Danio rerio: one gene and its partner. The protein of the gene in region 2 interacts with the protein of the main gene of each other region in a biochemical or structural test. Links are inferred from orthologs where the notes say so. Each region holds a gene or a part of one and is shown on either strand. Other genes may lie near its edges.

What was found. The genes of interacting proteins can lie anywhere in the genome.
Region 1: the proteins of mlxip (region 2) and mlx form a complex in vitro, tested with the Homo sapiens proteins (2 studies listed by BioGRID, with this or other methods). The link is inferred for Danio rerio from reciprocal best matches to the Homo sapiens genes MLXIP and MLX.

The regions. Positions count from the first base shown.
Region 1 is NC_133178.1:36,009,039-36,012,696, reverse strand, and holds part of mlx (max-like protein X), read left to right. Parts: intron 1-47; coding exon 48-157; intron 158-1,710; coding exon 1,711-1,813; intron 1,814-1,912; coding exon 1,913-2,012; intron 2,013-3,658. UniProt on the Homo sapiens protein: Transcription regulator. Forms a sequence-specific DNA-binding protein complex with MAD1, MAD4, MNT, WBSCR14 and MLXIP which recognizes the core sequence 5'-CACGTG-3'. The TCFL4-MAD1, TCFL4-MAD4, TCFL4-WBSCR14 complexes are transcriptional repressors.
Region 2 is NC_133180.1:73,337,336-73,340,993, reverse strand, and holds part of mlxip (MLX-interacting protein), read left to right. Parts: intron 1-531; coding exon 532-1,084; intron 1,085-3,070; coding exon 3,071-3,165; intron 3,166-3,658. UniProt on the Homo sapiens protein: Binds DNA as a heterodimer with MLX and activates transcription. Binds to the canonical E box sequence 5'-CACGTG-3'. Plays a role in transcriptional activation of glycolytic target genes. Involved in glucose-responsive gene regulation.

The sequences.
Region 1 (3,658 bases), on a different chromosome or scaffold from region 2:
AATGACTGCTGATGGCTAACAGATATTTGTTCCTCCCATTGGTTTAGATGATGAAGACAGTGACAACAGACATGAGACGCCTTATAAAGAGTCATATAAAGACCGCAGGAGGCACGCACACACGCAGGCAGAGCAGAAACGCAGGGACGCCATCAAGGTATGTGTGACGCTTTTCAGGCTAACAGACAGACACATGGAAAAAAGTAGCTGACGAAATAAAAGTCTTTTCTGGTTTATTAGTACACTAGTATGACAAACTAGAGTAACCAGTTTGGTTTGGATTCAAAGTAGAGTGATCATTCTTTTTGTAATTGACTTTAAAATACAAATGCCCAGTCTTAAAGGGGAAAAAAGGTGATGAACGTTTTAAGAATACAATAAGCAGTTTATACAACTGACCCTGTTGGAATTGCTGTTTCTTCTTTCTCTTCTTTTTCTTATCCAGAATGAATCGCTATTTTGTTTAGATTTTGATCTAAACATGCCCGAAAACTCACAAAACATTGCATCTGCCCCAGAAGTAGCAAAAATTTACGTTTGTTATAGGTTTCCGAAGTGGGCGTGGCAAAATGACATGACAGCTCCACCCATGCACATTAAACAGACTAGCCTCCAAGCTACGATTCACGCACACATATTAAAACTGACAGACCTGCCTGAAAATTCTCACGTTCGATAAGATTCCTCTCCTGAAGACATCTGCATGCCAATATCGAGTCACAGTCATAGCACCACCTGCTGACAGAAGGAAGTTTGGCATATATTGATGATTTCTGAATTTTTTTTTAGATATTTATCAGCTTAATATATTATTGTTCGCTGTGCTCTGTCATCCTGAGGCCACCGAGTGGTCCCAGGTCCCTTTCATTGCTGCTTGCAGCTTTAATTTGACTTGTGTTTACTAGTTTAGGAAACATAATAAATCTAAGAAATAGAAAAAGGTAACACTTTCATTTAAGGTGTCCATATATATGTTCCACTACTTACATATACGTACACCAATTATAAAAATGAGTTAGTTATGCATAATTACGCACAACTAACCTATATTTAGTAGGTACATGTAATTAATTGACATGTAAAACAGTAGTTACATAAATAGTTACACTGTAACAAGGACATAAAGAAAATGTATCAAATAAAATCAAGAAAATTTTGTGCTCATTTTATGGCGGCTCTTTGGAGGGGACCTAAGTAGGATCATTATTATTATAAAAACTATTATTGCTATTATGATTATTTTAAAGCTCTACGTTTGCTGTTGTACGTCTGTTGATATGTTTTGTTGATTTGCATCATTAGGCCACAAAAAAATACAAAAATAAATCAATTTCACAATGCTGTATATTATTGCTACTACCAGTTAAGTGAAAGAAATAATAATATTGTAATATGTCAATGTAAAAATAAAGTGTAAGAATCAATTTAATTTTAGCAGTTGTAAACGTATGTTATAATGTTTATATTAAATCTTAATTACTTTTTATTTTTAAAACATCAGGCTTTTATTTTGCTGGAAAACTACAGCGAGATTAGCACATTGTATTTCCAAGTGCAAAACCCAAACTCTTGGCAGATACTAAGATGAGTTGTGTTTACTTTGCACCAAGCCATTGAAAACCCTAAGTAGCTTGCTTATAAAATAGCACAGTTCTGCATGTTGCAAGTTTAACTCCTTCAAATTATCTCCATGGATCTTTAATCTCACAGAAAGGCTATGATGACCTGCAGTCTATAGTGCCTACATGTCAGCAGCAGTCAGACTTCTCCATGGCCACACAAAAGATGAGCAAAGCTACAGTCCTGCAAAAGAGTGAGAACCTTCAATACCTATTTATATGCTGTTGTCATCTTGTGTGGAATGAAAAGGCTCAGCAACTTTATATGTGTGTGTGTGTGTCTGTGTGTGTAGCAATCGACTACATTCAGTTTCTCCACAAAGAAAAGAAGAAGCAGGAAGAGGATGTTTCCACACTTAGGAAGGAGGTGATGGCGCTGAAAATTATGAAAACGTGAGTAGTTGGTTATTTAGAGGGGGGCCGGAAACATTTTAACAGCTCATGCAGACAAGTATAGATTCAGTTACACTCCTGTAGGGCTTTTTCAGGTTTCATAAGGCTTTATCTGACACCATCATTCTTCTGTTAAGAAAGATAAAAAACACCCTTTTAGGAGAACAAAGTTTTCAACCAAAAACAACTATTTTTAAGAGTTTTTCCTGTTCGTTTACAAAACAGCATTTTTGGGGACTAAAAATGGGTCACAAGGTAGAAGTTTTTGAAAACGCTGCAATTGTTGAGTGTGTGTAAACGCCTGAAAAAACAATCTTTGAAATTTATGACGTCATGTGTGCTGAATGGTATGCATTTAGTGTAATGTAGATTAAAGACAAGCACAAACACATAACATTGACAGAGTATGTGGAGGTGTTGTTGTTTGCTAACAATCCATAATCTAAGTGTCGATTTACTTCATATTACAACTAAAAGTGGAGACGCATCTTACACACACACACTGCAAATTTTATGTACACACCAGCAACAAGCTGCCAATGACCTTTTGTCACTTCCTTAAAGGTAGCACTAACAAGTAGACCAAATACTGGCCTGGCATATGTAATACAGTCCTTTTGTAAATGTGTAAAGCAGTGGTCACACTAGAGTTTGAGGTTGCAAAATTCTGTCATATTACGCTGTGAAACTGGGCAGGATAAAACAAGATGATTAAGACATCAAATTATGGAGCAATTGCTTGCTTTATGAAATTTCAGTACAGAAAAGTCACGTTTGGAATGGATCATGCAGTTACGTGATGCGATTTCACAGGTCAGGGTTCACTGAACTTTTGAACGCAGTGAATCTTGTTGCAGGAGCTTGTGTTTCTGGTCTGTTGAATTTGCATGCGTTTGAAAGGAACTCACTGTACCGTTCACACTACACGACTTGATTTTGTGTCTTTAAATCGCTGTGGTGTTTACACTACGCAACACTACCTAAATTATCCACAAGAGGGGGTCACACACTACATGATCTGACAACAACTCGTTCCACAACAGCTCAGTCAAGCACAGCCAATAAAATGTTGAGGGAGGAGACAGCAAAAAAAACTGAACACTATTGGCTGCTTGAGTGCTGATAACATCACTGACCGTAGCTATGTTTCCATCCAAAAATGCTAAATAAATTTATGCGCAAAACTGGATTATTGCATAAAAAATATATATGTATAAAGCAGCGTTTCCATCCAACAAGTCAAAGCCAACAAAATTGTCTCTTCTTGATTATCTGGCACCAAATATCAACAGTAAAAACGGAATTTGCTGCGGTAGGAGAAGCTGCGCGAATCTTTTCATTTAATAAATGACTTGCACTTTAGAAGGCAATCCCGACACGCAGTGGGCGCGTGGTGAAATTTGAAGGCGTGAGACGTGGAGCACTTTTCTAAAAGCTTTAAAGGAAATGTTTAAAAATATTGTCAGTCAGCTGATGCATCAGCAGATCAGTCGCTCATTTGCAAGGTTTACTAAAAGTGAGGTCCAGGGGCCTGTTTCAGAAAGGAGGTTAAGTAAAGTATTTTAACCCTGAAATGAGGGAAACTCTGGGTTTTCCGTTTCAAAATGGCAGGTTTGTCAAACTGGAGAAACCAGGGTAAGTCAAGC
Region 2 (3,658 bases):
TGATTATTAGTTGTATTCCCCAACTTGCAGGCACGTGCACACACAGTGCTCAACCTGTGCAGTGAACATGCCCTTTTTAGTCTTTGATAGAATGTTCCCTTCCAAAATGATCAAAAGTGCCCCCGCGGCGCGACATACCCTCCGTCCCCGCTTTACAGTACGCGCGCGACAACACAGCTGATAAGAACTTTCAACCACTATTCAGGACGCGCGCGGCGACAACACCCGCTTTAGAGTTTTACAGCTCTTTTTGATCCCCGCTTCTAGCAGCACACTCCATTTCCGCATTACTGGATCTGTAGCGACAACAGACCGCAAGGGATTATGGCCAAGCCTGGGCTTATGGGAATTGTAGTTTTCCGGTACCTTCCGTTCGCTTCATTCGCCTGAGCAAATTTTCTCAGAAGACCTATAGTTTTACCGAGTCATGCGACTACGGTAATATCGAAAAAAATTAATATTGCGGTATGACGGTATTTACAATACCGTTACATCCCTATTCAATATCTATATCCGCTTTTTGTTGTTTAGGCTTCCCTGCTTTCATCCCTGCCGCTCTCCACGGAGCTTCCTTCTCTGCCTCTGGACTACCGCCTCATGCCCTCTGCTCCTCTGCCTGGCCATCTCTCGGTGGCCAACCAGGACAATGGTAACTCCGTCGGTCCGTCCTACCAACAGCCCTACATGCCTCTTTTCACAGAGCAAGTGAGCTCCTCCGTCCCGTCTATCCTGCCTCCCCCAGCTCCACCTCTCCCCTCAGCCCCACAGCCTCTCAGCACAGTCACTACAGTCCCCCAGCCCAGCCAGAGCGTCCCGCCTTCATCAGTAATAACGCACACCGCCTCCTCCACAGTGACTCCCACTGACGCAGCCACTACCGTCAGCCACAGGTCCAGTTTTGAGCTGCCCCCTGCGCCATCTCCACAGCCTGTAGTCTCCAGCTCTGCCTCGCTCGGCTCACAGCCAGTCAACTTCGCCTTGCCCAAATCCATCCAGCCTCCCATCTCTAGCAAAAAGTCCAGACACTCACAGAGACCGATTGTCCCGGCGAATCCACTGCCGTCTCCTCAGCTCATACTGACAGGTTTGTGTCTCTCCTGAAATCGATTTTGTAACATGCTCGATATGCGATGGGATAGTTTACATAATTGTCGGTTCTGTTGTCTAGGATGTGGGTTTGATTTGGTTTAAAAAATGCATCAATAGCATTTAAATAAATCAGACATTAGTATACAATACACTACCTGACAAAAGTCTTGTTGCCTATCCAAGTTTTTGGAACAGCAAATAATATCACTACTGAGAGTTCAAACACTGAAGAGCGAATCCATCGATGTGCAGCTCTAAAGATCCCGAACCATGTAATATTTGGTATCAGAATATTTGGTATCAGAAGTGGCTTATATGAAAGGCAAAGGCCTCTAGATTACGCTTCTTTTACCTAAATAAAATATTATTATATATTAATTTTTAATTAAGACAGTAAGGTCTGACTTTGCTTTGACAAAAGTCTTGTCACTTAACAGAAATAATGTCCAGTATAGAATATAAAGTCATGCTGCAGTGGAAACAGAATGAATATTGTGTCCATCATGAGCTTGGAGGACTGCATCCACACATCTCTGCAGTGACTCTAATCACCTATTAATAAAGTCATCTGGAATGGCAAAGAAAGCGTTCCTGCAGGACTCTCATGCTGCGTTCACACCAGACATGGCACGCGCGTCAAGCGCGAGTGATTTACATGTTAAGTCAATGCAAACGGGCGGATAGACATCCTGCGGCACGATATGCGCGAATTGCGCAGGGCGAATTGACGCGCTTAACGAGCGTTTCGCGCGAATCTCTCGAGTTCGAAAATCTGAACTTCAGCGGACATTCGCACCGCGTTAACCAATCAGAAGCTTTCTCTTGTGGGGGCATGATTGTGACGTAGAACCTGTTGATGGTCTCCCGGGGGAAATCCTCCAGGCGACACCGACAACAAGTCAAACTGGGCTGGGCTCAGTCAGAAGCATCGTTGAAAGCCTCCGTGATCCAGGTTCAGTTTCTGGAGGAGTTTATGAGCTCACAGAGCTGGATGCACCTCTGAAAGGATGCAGTGGACTCAGACACAACCCTAAACGTATCAACGCTGTTTTTCAGTCTCCATAAAGCACATAAACATTGTTATTTTCTTAATAAAATCCATGTTAGCCATTTAGCTATGAAGCTTGAGTCACCGGGCAGACAGATGCCCTGCCCATCAAGCAAATCCGCGTCTGTTTTTAAGTGAATTTGACACGCGAATGAAGCAGATTTGACACGCAAATAAAGCGGGGGTTTACGCGCGAATGAAGCAAGTAAACTCAAATGTTCACGCGGCTATTTACGAGCGAATAGCGCAATTTTTCCGCGCGTTCCACGTCTGGAGTGAACACAGCATCAGAGTTCATCAAGATTCTTTAGATTCATCTGTAATGCCTCCTGTTTCATTTTACCCTAGACAAGCTAATAATGTTCATGTCTGGTGACTGGGCGGGCCAATCCTGGAGCGTCTTTGCTTTTAGGAACTTTGATATTGAGGCTAAAATATGAAAGAGCGCCATACTGCTGAAGAATTCGCCCTCGTCTGGGGTTTGTAATATAATGAGCAGCACAAATGTCTTAATACCTTAGACTTTTGATAGTCATCCACTCTGCAGATCTTTCCAACGCCCCCATACAGAATGTAACCCCAAACCATGACTTTTCCTACACCAAACTTGACTGATTTCTGTGAGAATCTTGGGTCCTTGTGGGTTCCAATAGGTCTTTCAGGAATCAGTCTCATGCTCTCCACTCCTCCATGACCGCCACAGCATCTGCTCAATTAACCTAATGGCACTTTAGGCTAAATACGAGTATCTTGCACCATATAGGAAATTGAAGCAAATAAATTAGTTATTAAAACTACTATGTTTGAAAATGTGTTTGTCTCTCTGTTAAACAGCTTTTTGGGAAATATTTGAAAAAAAAAATTTGTAATTTCAAATGAGGGCTATTAATTGTGTTTTAAATGTCCATCTATCATCATACCCATCATTCCCAGGTCCCACCAGTGCTGTCATTGTCACTCCGTCTCCTCTCTCCACTGATGTTGTCTCCACCACCGGTATGGTCATTGCCTCCTCCGGTATTCCTTGTGTAAGCCCTTCATCATCCCTCATCTTCTCTTGTGTTTGCAATAGGCCGTTTAATATTTAACAGGCTTATGTATTATTCAGAATTACTTTGAGAGAAACTTTTGTATTTGAAGAGGATGCAGAATTGTAATTTCATGGCTGCATTTATTTGATCAGAAATGCAGTAAAACCTTAATATTGTGCTATCACAATTTAAAATAACTTAATGTATTGAGGAGAGTCTGCACAGTATTGTACAACTGTAGAGTCTTTTTCTTCAAGCCTATGGTGCCATTAAGAATGCAGGCCATGTTTACAATTCCTGCTAACATTTTGCCTGCATAATTATGAGACACTTTTATTACTGGTACATAATCACATATATAATGCAATCCTGCATTAAAAAATCCTGGAAAATTCTTGATTTTTAATATAGTGTTTTCAAAGTTAGAAAAGTTCTTGGATTTTGGACAAAGTGCTTGAACCTGCTTGAATTTAAAATTGCAGAGCTCGAA